Tribolium castaneum: one gene and its partner. The protein of the gene in region 2 interacts with the protein of the main gene of each other region in a pairwise test. Links are inferred from orthologs where the notes say so. Each region holds a gene or a part of one and is shown on either strand. Other genes may lie near its edges.

Region 1 (4,501 bases), on a different chromosome or scaffold from region 2:
ATGAATAGTTTTTATAATATTTAACTATATCCATACATTTTAGCGACCCTGTATATGTCAAAATGATAAAAATATCCTATTATTATGCATTTTTTAATTATTGCAAAGCAAATTTAATAAAAAAATTATATGTTTACCACGAGACGTTATTGCAGTAAATTTATAAATCAAGCGATATTTTTACATAATTTAAATAAAATGAACACAAAAATTTACCATCATAATTAATTCATGAATAATCTGCTTTTTGAATAATTAAGATTGATAAAAAATTCAGACGTAATAATGCAGACAAGAATTTCTGAGAAACAGTCGATTCATTAGCTGAATTATTAATTTCGTTTTTAGGTATCAATAAAACGCCATTACCACTGGCTTAAAGACACAATTAAGTACACCATTGTGGCCAAGTTTTTATATCTTACTATAACGCAAAACAGGATAGGGTTCAATTAATCAACTTAAAGTGTGTTCCCAATCCTGTTATTAAAAAATTGTCAATCAATACGTGTTTGCATGAGAGACACTGTCACGGAACTGAATTTTTCCGTATAAAAAAAGGAAAACATGATGGGTTTCACATGTAAATAGCCAATGAATGATTGCCAACACCAAAATTTCAAAATAACACTAATGCACCACCTCATACATGCATTACCACTACACCAACTACTGATATTTCAGTAATATTATTTAAAAAAAATAACATACTTGACTTGCACTGGAATCGCCTCTGCCATTATTCTCATCCTCGGCGCTAATGTGGTAGCGCCGTTCAAAAACCACAGCCTGCTCAAGCACCCTTTGCTCTTGTAATTGGTTATCGACATTATTGCTGCACAAAAAACGCTAATTAAATGCCCAACACTCAAAAATAAGTACCTAGACGTGGGCCTCTCCCACTGAGTGGTTCTCGCTATGTGGTTGACGTAATACGTCCTCCCGTTCGCGTCTTGCCGCTCCTCCCAGCCAGGAGGCAGGGGCGCATTGGACTCAAAAGGATCATTAACATATACAGGCTTATCAAAAAATAAATCATTAAAAAAACACAACAAATCGCAACTCGAATTACCTGCGCTGGCCCCTCCTCCCGCCCATCGCTCATAATCTCCCAGTCGCGCTCATTGCCGATCCGGTCCGAATCGGGGGGCGCCGGGGGCACCTCGCTGTCGTGCAGAAACGCGTGATATATCTCAAGGTGCCCTCGAACTCTTGAACGAGCACTAAAACTGCTACGTAGAGTAATTGACGAGTAAGACCAGCATGCAAAATTAAGCACAAGTATTAACATGCAAGCTAGAAAAAGTTAGGCCAAGTGTGCTACCTTCTGCGGCCTAGGAGGTATTTCACTGTTCCGATGTTGCGCCCCTCCTGCTCTCGCGGCAGATTTATCAGAGTTATCTCCACCATGCCGAGGAAGTCATCGCGGGTTAGTCTGTTCTCGTCAAAGACTTGGAGGATCAGCTTGTGTTCCGCTGGTTTCACCTAGCCAGAAAATTAATGTTCCAAACCACGCTCGCAAATAAGTGGCCTGTGACTTGACTTGAGTCGCAGACCACTCTGATCAGTGATACTTACCCGAAATATGAATTCTTCGTTCCATTCTGGATTGAGGGTCTGTTGGAAGTTAAAAATGTAAAATTTAGTCTATTTATTAATCGTTATTACCTCACCCTTTTCTTAGTTTTTGTTAAAACGGAATCAATCGTTTCATCTCCGTTTATTGTGTTCAGATCGATCTTTACGTAAGGATCACTAAAACGATAATAAGTTTTGTGGCTTAAAAGCGGATTACGTTACCTTGCCCCAAAAATATCCTTTTTCATAAGATTCTTTCCCCTAATTATTCTGAGCCGTATTTTGCTGGTTGGTTCTTCTGTCTACAAAACATGGGTTAGATTAGATTGGTAAATAGATCATTGAATAAACAAATTAGTGATAATGTCGCTATTAGAGAGCTTCGTTTCACTTTGTGTTTAAATTACGACTTCACAACAAAAACAAATAGGTTTGCTTAGGAGCAAGGAGGAGGTTTAAGACCTTGTGCAAATGACAGGTCAGGAGTTAAAAGATCGATTAATCATAAAATAAGTTATTTAATTTGCCGCAATATGCATGTGCCCAAGGAAAAACATACGAGTGACATTGATAGTAGAAAATGATCCTTGTACGTAACTAATTTTGCAACTTACAAGTCGATCGAGTCCGATTTGAGGAAAGTATCCATAGATATTTTCTGATGCCATTAAAGATAAAAAACTAAATTTGTATGTTACATCTAATGTTAAAATGATCACAGCCACGAAAACAATTTATTCATTCCAATAAGAATTGACAAGCTACACAAACTCTAATGTCAAACTTTTTTTCAACAATGACGTTTTTGGGGAACTCCGTGCGCTGCGGTTGGCCGCACTTGTGACACAAAAAGGTTGCCACCTTTTTTTTTAAACTCGGTTTAATTTGTTATATTCTCTTATCTTGATATTTGCTTGATAAGGGTTACGGAGATGCGTCCGAATCCCAAAATTTCCAGTGCCATAATTAAAATAAAGGTTTTGTTGGCAAAAGTGGACCAAAAATTGAGAAAAGTACCGGTTTGGGAGTTTGGGCAAATGTTTTTTCGTCGGGTTATGCAAGCAATTAAACTTGTGTTTATTTTATCATGTGATTATGAGTTAGGTGTTTTATTGCTTTTAAATTCTTACCAATGTTGACACGCAAAATGATCGTCTTGGGCTATGGTTTGAAGATACAATCGATAGCGATCGTAATCTATTGCCCAACGATCTACTTCGTTGCCGGGGGCCATCCGAAGGCTCAGCAGGTGGATTTTGAGGTTGCAAGGACATGAATGCAAATCTTAATCTCTTGCATCACGCTTAATTAAGTAAACGCACTATAAAAACACAGTGTTCTCCACAGCTAAATATTTATAGTTACAACACTTGAATACACGAATTCCAACACAAATTTGAAGATTTCTCTTAATTTAATTCTCTTATCTTTCACCGTGAAATGTGTGATAGCTGGATAGCTGTGTGAACTCATATCTTGAGATTAGTATCACTGATAAAGATTAGAGCATTGCTGTACGCACATGCAAAGTGTGTAAGGCCTAGATTTTTTATTTACTCGTTAAATGTTGCCCTATTGTGTTTGATAACATTAATTATTTTTTGTCATCTTAACTTGAAACCGCTACTTCTTTTATAATTAAAAATTATTTTTTGGGTTATATTACTCGTTTCATAACAAATTATTAAGCATTACTTTGGCTTCATTGAAAAAAAGACACTGAAAATTGTTTTATTTGAATTACCGCATAAAAAAAATTAAAAAATGTTGGTAGCATTGGTGCCGAACGTCGATAAAATAGACCTCTGTAGAGTGATCTAACCTCTAACTTGAAAAATAAATGGAAAAATAATTAAAGTAGTTACAAGAACAAAATGCGGCTAACACAGTTCCTCCTTTCAAAAGTGGGCAAATACTCCAAGGACTATTCAAATTTGCCCGACCGTTACATAAAGCGTGCGATGGAGCAAGTGGAGTGGAGGAACCCCAAAGGCATCCAATACAAACCAAATGCGGTGGCTAAGCGCACCAAGTACAAATTTGCCATGCACCGGCCGTGGACAAGCCAATTTCGAGAAGAGAACGCACCGGGGGTTCACCACGCAAAAGTTTTCGTCGAGCCTATCAGAAAATGGAGCTTCTTCCGAGGCGACCGTGTTGAGATTCTTGCTGGGAAAGATAAGGGAAAACAGGGCATTGTCAAACAAATCATTCAGGAGCGTAATTGGGTCACGGTTGAAGGTTTAAACTGCGTTTTGGAGAAAGTCGGGGAGCGGAAAGGTTTCGAGGGGGCGTATTTGCAAGTGGAGAAGCCCCTTTTGGTGACTGAACAAGTGGCACTTGTTGATCCCTCCGATTTGCAAGCCACGCCATTTGAGTGGAGGTTTACGGAAGATGGGGAGGAAGTGAGGGTGTCTACAAGGACCGGGAGGATAATTCCCGTTCCTGCGACAGCGGAAGAAACCATAGATTATAAGACAAAGGGGACTTATAAGGAACAGCCCAAAGACACCGCAGCGAATGATGTGACGCAAATTACGTTTGAACCGAAATTGCAAACGTTTGAAATGGATGTTATGAACAGCATGGGCATTAAAGAGGACCGGGTACCCCCGAAATATTACTGGTATTGATTTTTTGCCAATTTGTAATATAAACTAATTAATAAAATATGTACAAAAAGTTAAAAATTGTTTTATTTATTATACAATTTTGTGATTAAATGTTTTAATTATGACTTTATGAGTATATTTACAAATCTTGGGTCTTATCCAAAGGCCTTATCTTACATGTGACACGTTATTTACTTAGTTAGATTTTAACATCACACACAAATGTTTAAAAAACGACCAAGCGTGATTTCACAAATTAGCACACGCCACTGACAGATTCAGGGATTCCCCTAGTTATCTCACCAGAGCAG
Region 2 (3,700 bases):
CCCGTCCTTTGTAGCACTTCCGGTGGCGACAGATTCCTCATATGCGTCGACAAAATAAGGAACATTTCTCTCATTGCGAGTCCAACAGTAACAAAAGGTAACACATGCGTGCTCAGTAGGTTTATCGGCAGTCCGATCAAACTGCAAACGCCCAGCGCGGCGGCGGCTGAGCTCGCCAAGACCAGCACTCCCAAGGCAGCCAGCCCCGACTGGGCCACCCACCCGTACACCGCCGCCACCCCCAGCACCACCCCCAGCTTCACCACGTCCGTCTTCGACGCCTCCTTCAACATCTTGTTCAAATTGGCGGTGGAGAACGTCACGAAGATGTAATTCGACGACTTCTTGCTCTTCGTCAGACGATCCACCTCCTGGAACAACCAAAAATTACCACCATTCACTCTACTCCTTGCGCCAACCACCAACCTGTGCGAACTTCTTCTGCCAGGCGTTCAGTACGGTTGTGGCCTTCTCCTGGTTCCATCCGATGTGGTGCACTTTGTAATGTCCAGACCAGAATTCGAACAGTTCGTGTTCGCCCATTAATTGTACAACAGTTTGTAAAGCTTTGGCTTGTTTAATATGACCAGATTTATTCTTATTGGCACCGCCAACGATCAAGTCTTCCGGCCAGTGCATGTATTTCGCGGCGAAACCGTAACAACCACTGGTTAGTTCAGCACCAATATCTAAATTTTGACTCGAATTGTAATTTGGAGCCGTCACTGGACATTCCGGGTCGCGGGGGTTCAAACACGGCTTTTCCTGATATCCAGAGGTTATTCCAGCACGCTTGAAATAATCCTCTAAAGAATGATAATCAAACTGGGATTCTTTTTGCTTTAACTCGGATACTAACTGACTGGGGTTGAGGTTTGTCCATTTTATATGCTTGCCTATTCCATATCTAGAAACAAATAAACTCCAGATAAAACCCAAATCACACTTTGGGTTACTTTTTTTTGTAAATTTAATGCTCTGAATCGAAATTTAACAACAAAAATTATGTATCAATATTTTGATGACACTTTTCTTCATGTTTATCTATACTGCCTTAAGATTTTCGGTAAAAGAATCTAAGTGAGAATTCAAAAATGAATGACTTGTCGCATATTTTAGGCCTTAATACGTGAACATATGATTCAGATGGATTAATGTAACATAAATGCATAACGAAATTACAAGAAGTATTGGATTTTGAGAAATTTTGTTTATTTATTGTAAAAACAAATCATCATGTAACAAAACCAACTATAATTATCCAATTAATAAATTAATTGCTTGAAATTTGAAATTATGACACTTTTTTAATCCAAACTCTTCACTATGTTTCTATAAAATGAGTACATTGCGAACTCTCGAGATCTCCCCTATTTCAAATGAAAAATGTAAACTGTAGTTAAATTAGTTAATTGTTGTTGAAAAGAAAGGCGTAAATAATGTTACGTTCTTTCGCCAAGCCAAAAAAATATGAATTACTCGATTCCGATTCCGGATTAAAAATGAAATTAAATAAGACGATGAAAAAAAGTAAATATTTTGAATAAAACGGGTGATCAGCCTTTTTGCGAGCATTTTGGCTGTTGTTCCGGGAACGGTCGCGGTAGGTAAGACATTTGAGTTGGTTATAAAAGGGCAGCTGCTGAGCCCGTGACCACCCTCCAAGTCGGTCGGTTTTCCGAACTTACGGTATATGGACAGGATAATCAGGTCCGAGCAATTTGGAGCCTTCCCAGAAGCAGTCGAGCGCCGTGATGATGGAGCAGGGCATCATATTTTCGAAAATCTGTTCAATAAAGTGCGCATCAAAATTGGGAATGCTGGGTGCTTGGCAGAAGTCCTTGAGGCGCCAGGTGATGTCGAACATCGTGATGGTGACCTGCGTGGCCTTCTGGAGGAGCGCGAGGTGCTCCAGGAGGCCGTGCGGATGCAGGAGGTCGATGTCGGGCTCGACGGCCGTCTGCACGATCATCTGGTGCGTGGAGAGCATCTCCTGCGGCGTCGCCTCGGCGCCCGTGGAGGGCTCGGCCCACAGCAGCTCGATGTCCGAGTGGAAGGCCATGCTCTTCAGGCCCACGGAGAAGGTGGCGATCGCCAGCACGCTCACGAAGAGGAACTTGCCGGCGTGCGTATCGAGGATGCGGCCCAGGGAGCGCAGCTGGCGCTGAATTCGGCCACGAACCCACAGAATGCCGCGGTCTCCGCTCGCTTTGCCCTGCAACAGAGTATACCATGCAATGGACCACCCAAGCAGCGGCCTGACGTCACACGGACCACCCAAGTTGCATACATATGGATACGGCAATCTCCGCCGCACTTCACCGCCTAGACTGTCCTTCTAGGAAGGATCGTCCAACGCTAGCAAGCCTACCTACGGCCGCAGCGGCCTACCATTACTCCGATCACTCCGATTCAACAATATTGCCAATCACTACTCATACTCGACAGATACACACCGCCATACCATATCTCACAGCTGTCACACGACATGCCCTCGCACCGAAACGACCACGCAACCCCGAAAAGGAACCACCACACATTCCTCCTCTGCTTCCTCTTCTTTCATTACTATATTATACAAACGACGACATTTTTATCGCCAGTACCGATATGCCATTATTTTAGGACACCCTGTACGCACGAACGCCCACCAAACCCCTCCCGACCCCAAATTCCAACAACTCCTCACGACACAATTAACAAAAACCACCACTGACTTTTCGATACAAATCGATTTCTTGAGATTTTGGCACCTGTTATGACTAAGTATGACGTATGACATACTATATTCTATATACTTGGTATAATACTTGTGTTCCCTTCGATTCTACTGTTCTTTAAAGTTTTTTTAAACCCAAAAATGTTCCATTTGAAAAAACATAACTTTGGTGTTTTCTAATATTGGGACAGCCTGTATATGTACGAAGTTATACTAATATATAATAAGTTATTTAGCTTTTGTGTGTATGAAGGGCTGATAGGAAATGTGAGCCCTCGTCATGAATTTGGCGATCGTGGCTCGGTGCCAACAGCCTCCGCTCGCAGATTATGTCACAAAACCGCCAGCATTCAATTTCGGGTATTTATTTTTTATGTGGCATTCCTGTTGTCCATTAAACCGCTGGCTCATGCGAACGGAATGTTCACTAAATTGGGAGACATTCATCAAAATTTCAGTGGTCATTTCCCTGCTAATCAATAAAACCGTTTCCGTCCGAAATAGCGAGGCCTTTACCGCTCAAATATTGCAATTACCTGGCATAAAAAAGCCATAAAACCGCATTTACATATAAAATAAATAAAATAAGTTCGATTATTTTCATTAAAACCCGAGTCATGTGCATAATCTTTATTTGTTGCCGTTCTGAATTTAAATTTGCGAGTTGAGCGTGCATTTTTAAAAAGAGAGGAAAGTAGGTGCTCCAGCTTTACATGGGTTTAATTATTGTAAATAAACTTCCGGTAATTAAAAAAGCGGTACCTCTTGACAAAGTGCTTGAAAGTGACAGAAAGGGGCTGTTGTCAACGTAATAAAATGAAGTGTTCATTTGCAAGAGAAACCGATTTTGTACACATAAAATGTATAAACATGTGAATTGAGATGCAATCGGGTTTTGAAGCATCCTACATGGGATTTGTTAGACGCTATCGTAAAATAAAATAAAAACGATACTAGCGTTTTATATTACAGTTATTAGTC

Evidence for each region.
Region 1: the proteins of ptc (region 2) and Nedd4 interact in a two-hybrid assay, tested with the Drosophila melanogaster proteins (2 studies listed by BioGRID). The link is inferred for Tribolium castaneum from reciprocal best matches to the Drosophila melanogaster genes ptc and Nedd4.

Annotation. Positions count from the first base shown.
Region 1 is NC_087396.1:13,306,954-13,311,454, forward strand, and holds the start of Nedd4 (E3 ubiquitin-protein ligase Nedd-4), read right to left. Parts: upstream 3,036-4,501; 5' UTR 2,853-3,035; coding exon 2,709-2,852; intron 2,385-2,708; exon of another isoform or gene 2,247-2,384; coding exon of another isoform or gene 2,193-2,246; intron 1,881-2,192; coding exon 1,801-1,880; intron 1,756-1,800; coding exon 1,674-1,755; exon of another isoform or gene 1,669-1,673; intron 1,618-1,668; coding exon 1,579-1,617; intron 1,486-1,578; coding exon 1,325-1,485; intron 1,233-1,324; coding exon 1,073-1,232; intron 1,020-1,072; coding exon 883-1,019; intron 836-882; coding exon 712-835; intron 1-711. Other genes in the region: mRpL24 (large ribosomal subunit protein uL24m), read left to right, coding at 3,453-4,211. UniProt on the Drosophila melanogaster protein: Essential E3 ubiquitin-protein ligase which accepts ubiquitin from an E2 ubiquitin-conjugating enzyme in the form of a thioester and then directly transfers the ubiquitin to targeted substrates.
Region 2 is NC_087403.1:6,989,435-6,993,134, reverse strand, and holds part of ptc (patched), read right to left. Parts: intron 2,606-3,700; exon of another isoform or gene 2,293-2,605; coding exon of another isoform or gene 2,275-2,292; intron 2,216-2,274; coding exon 1,689-2,215; intron 908-1,688; coding exon 427-907; intron 372-426; coding exon 1-371. UniProt on the Drosophila melanogaster protein: Segmentation polarity protein. Acts as a receptor for the hedgehog protein (hh). Associates with the smoothened protein (SMO) to transduce the hedgehog signal leading to the activation of wingless, decapentaplegic and patched itself.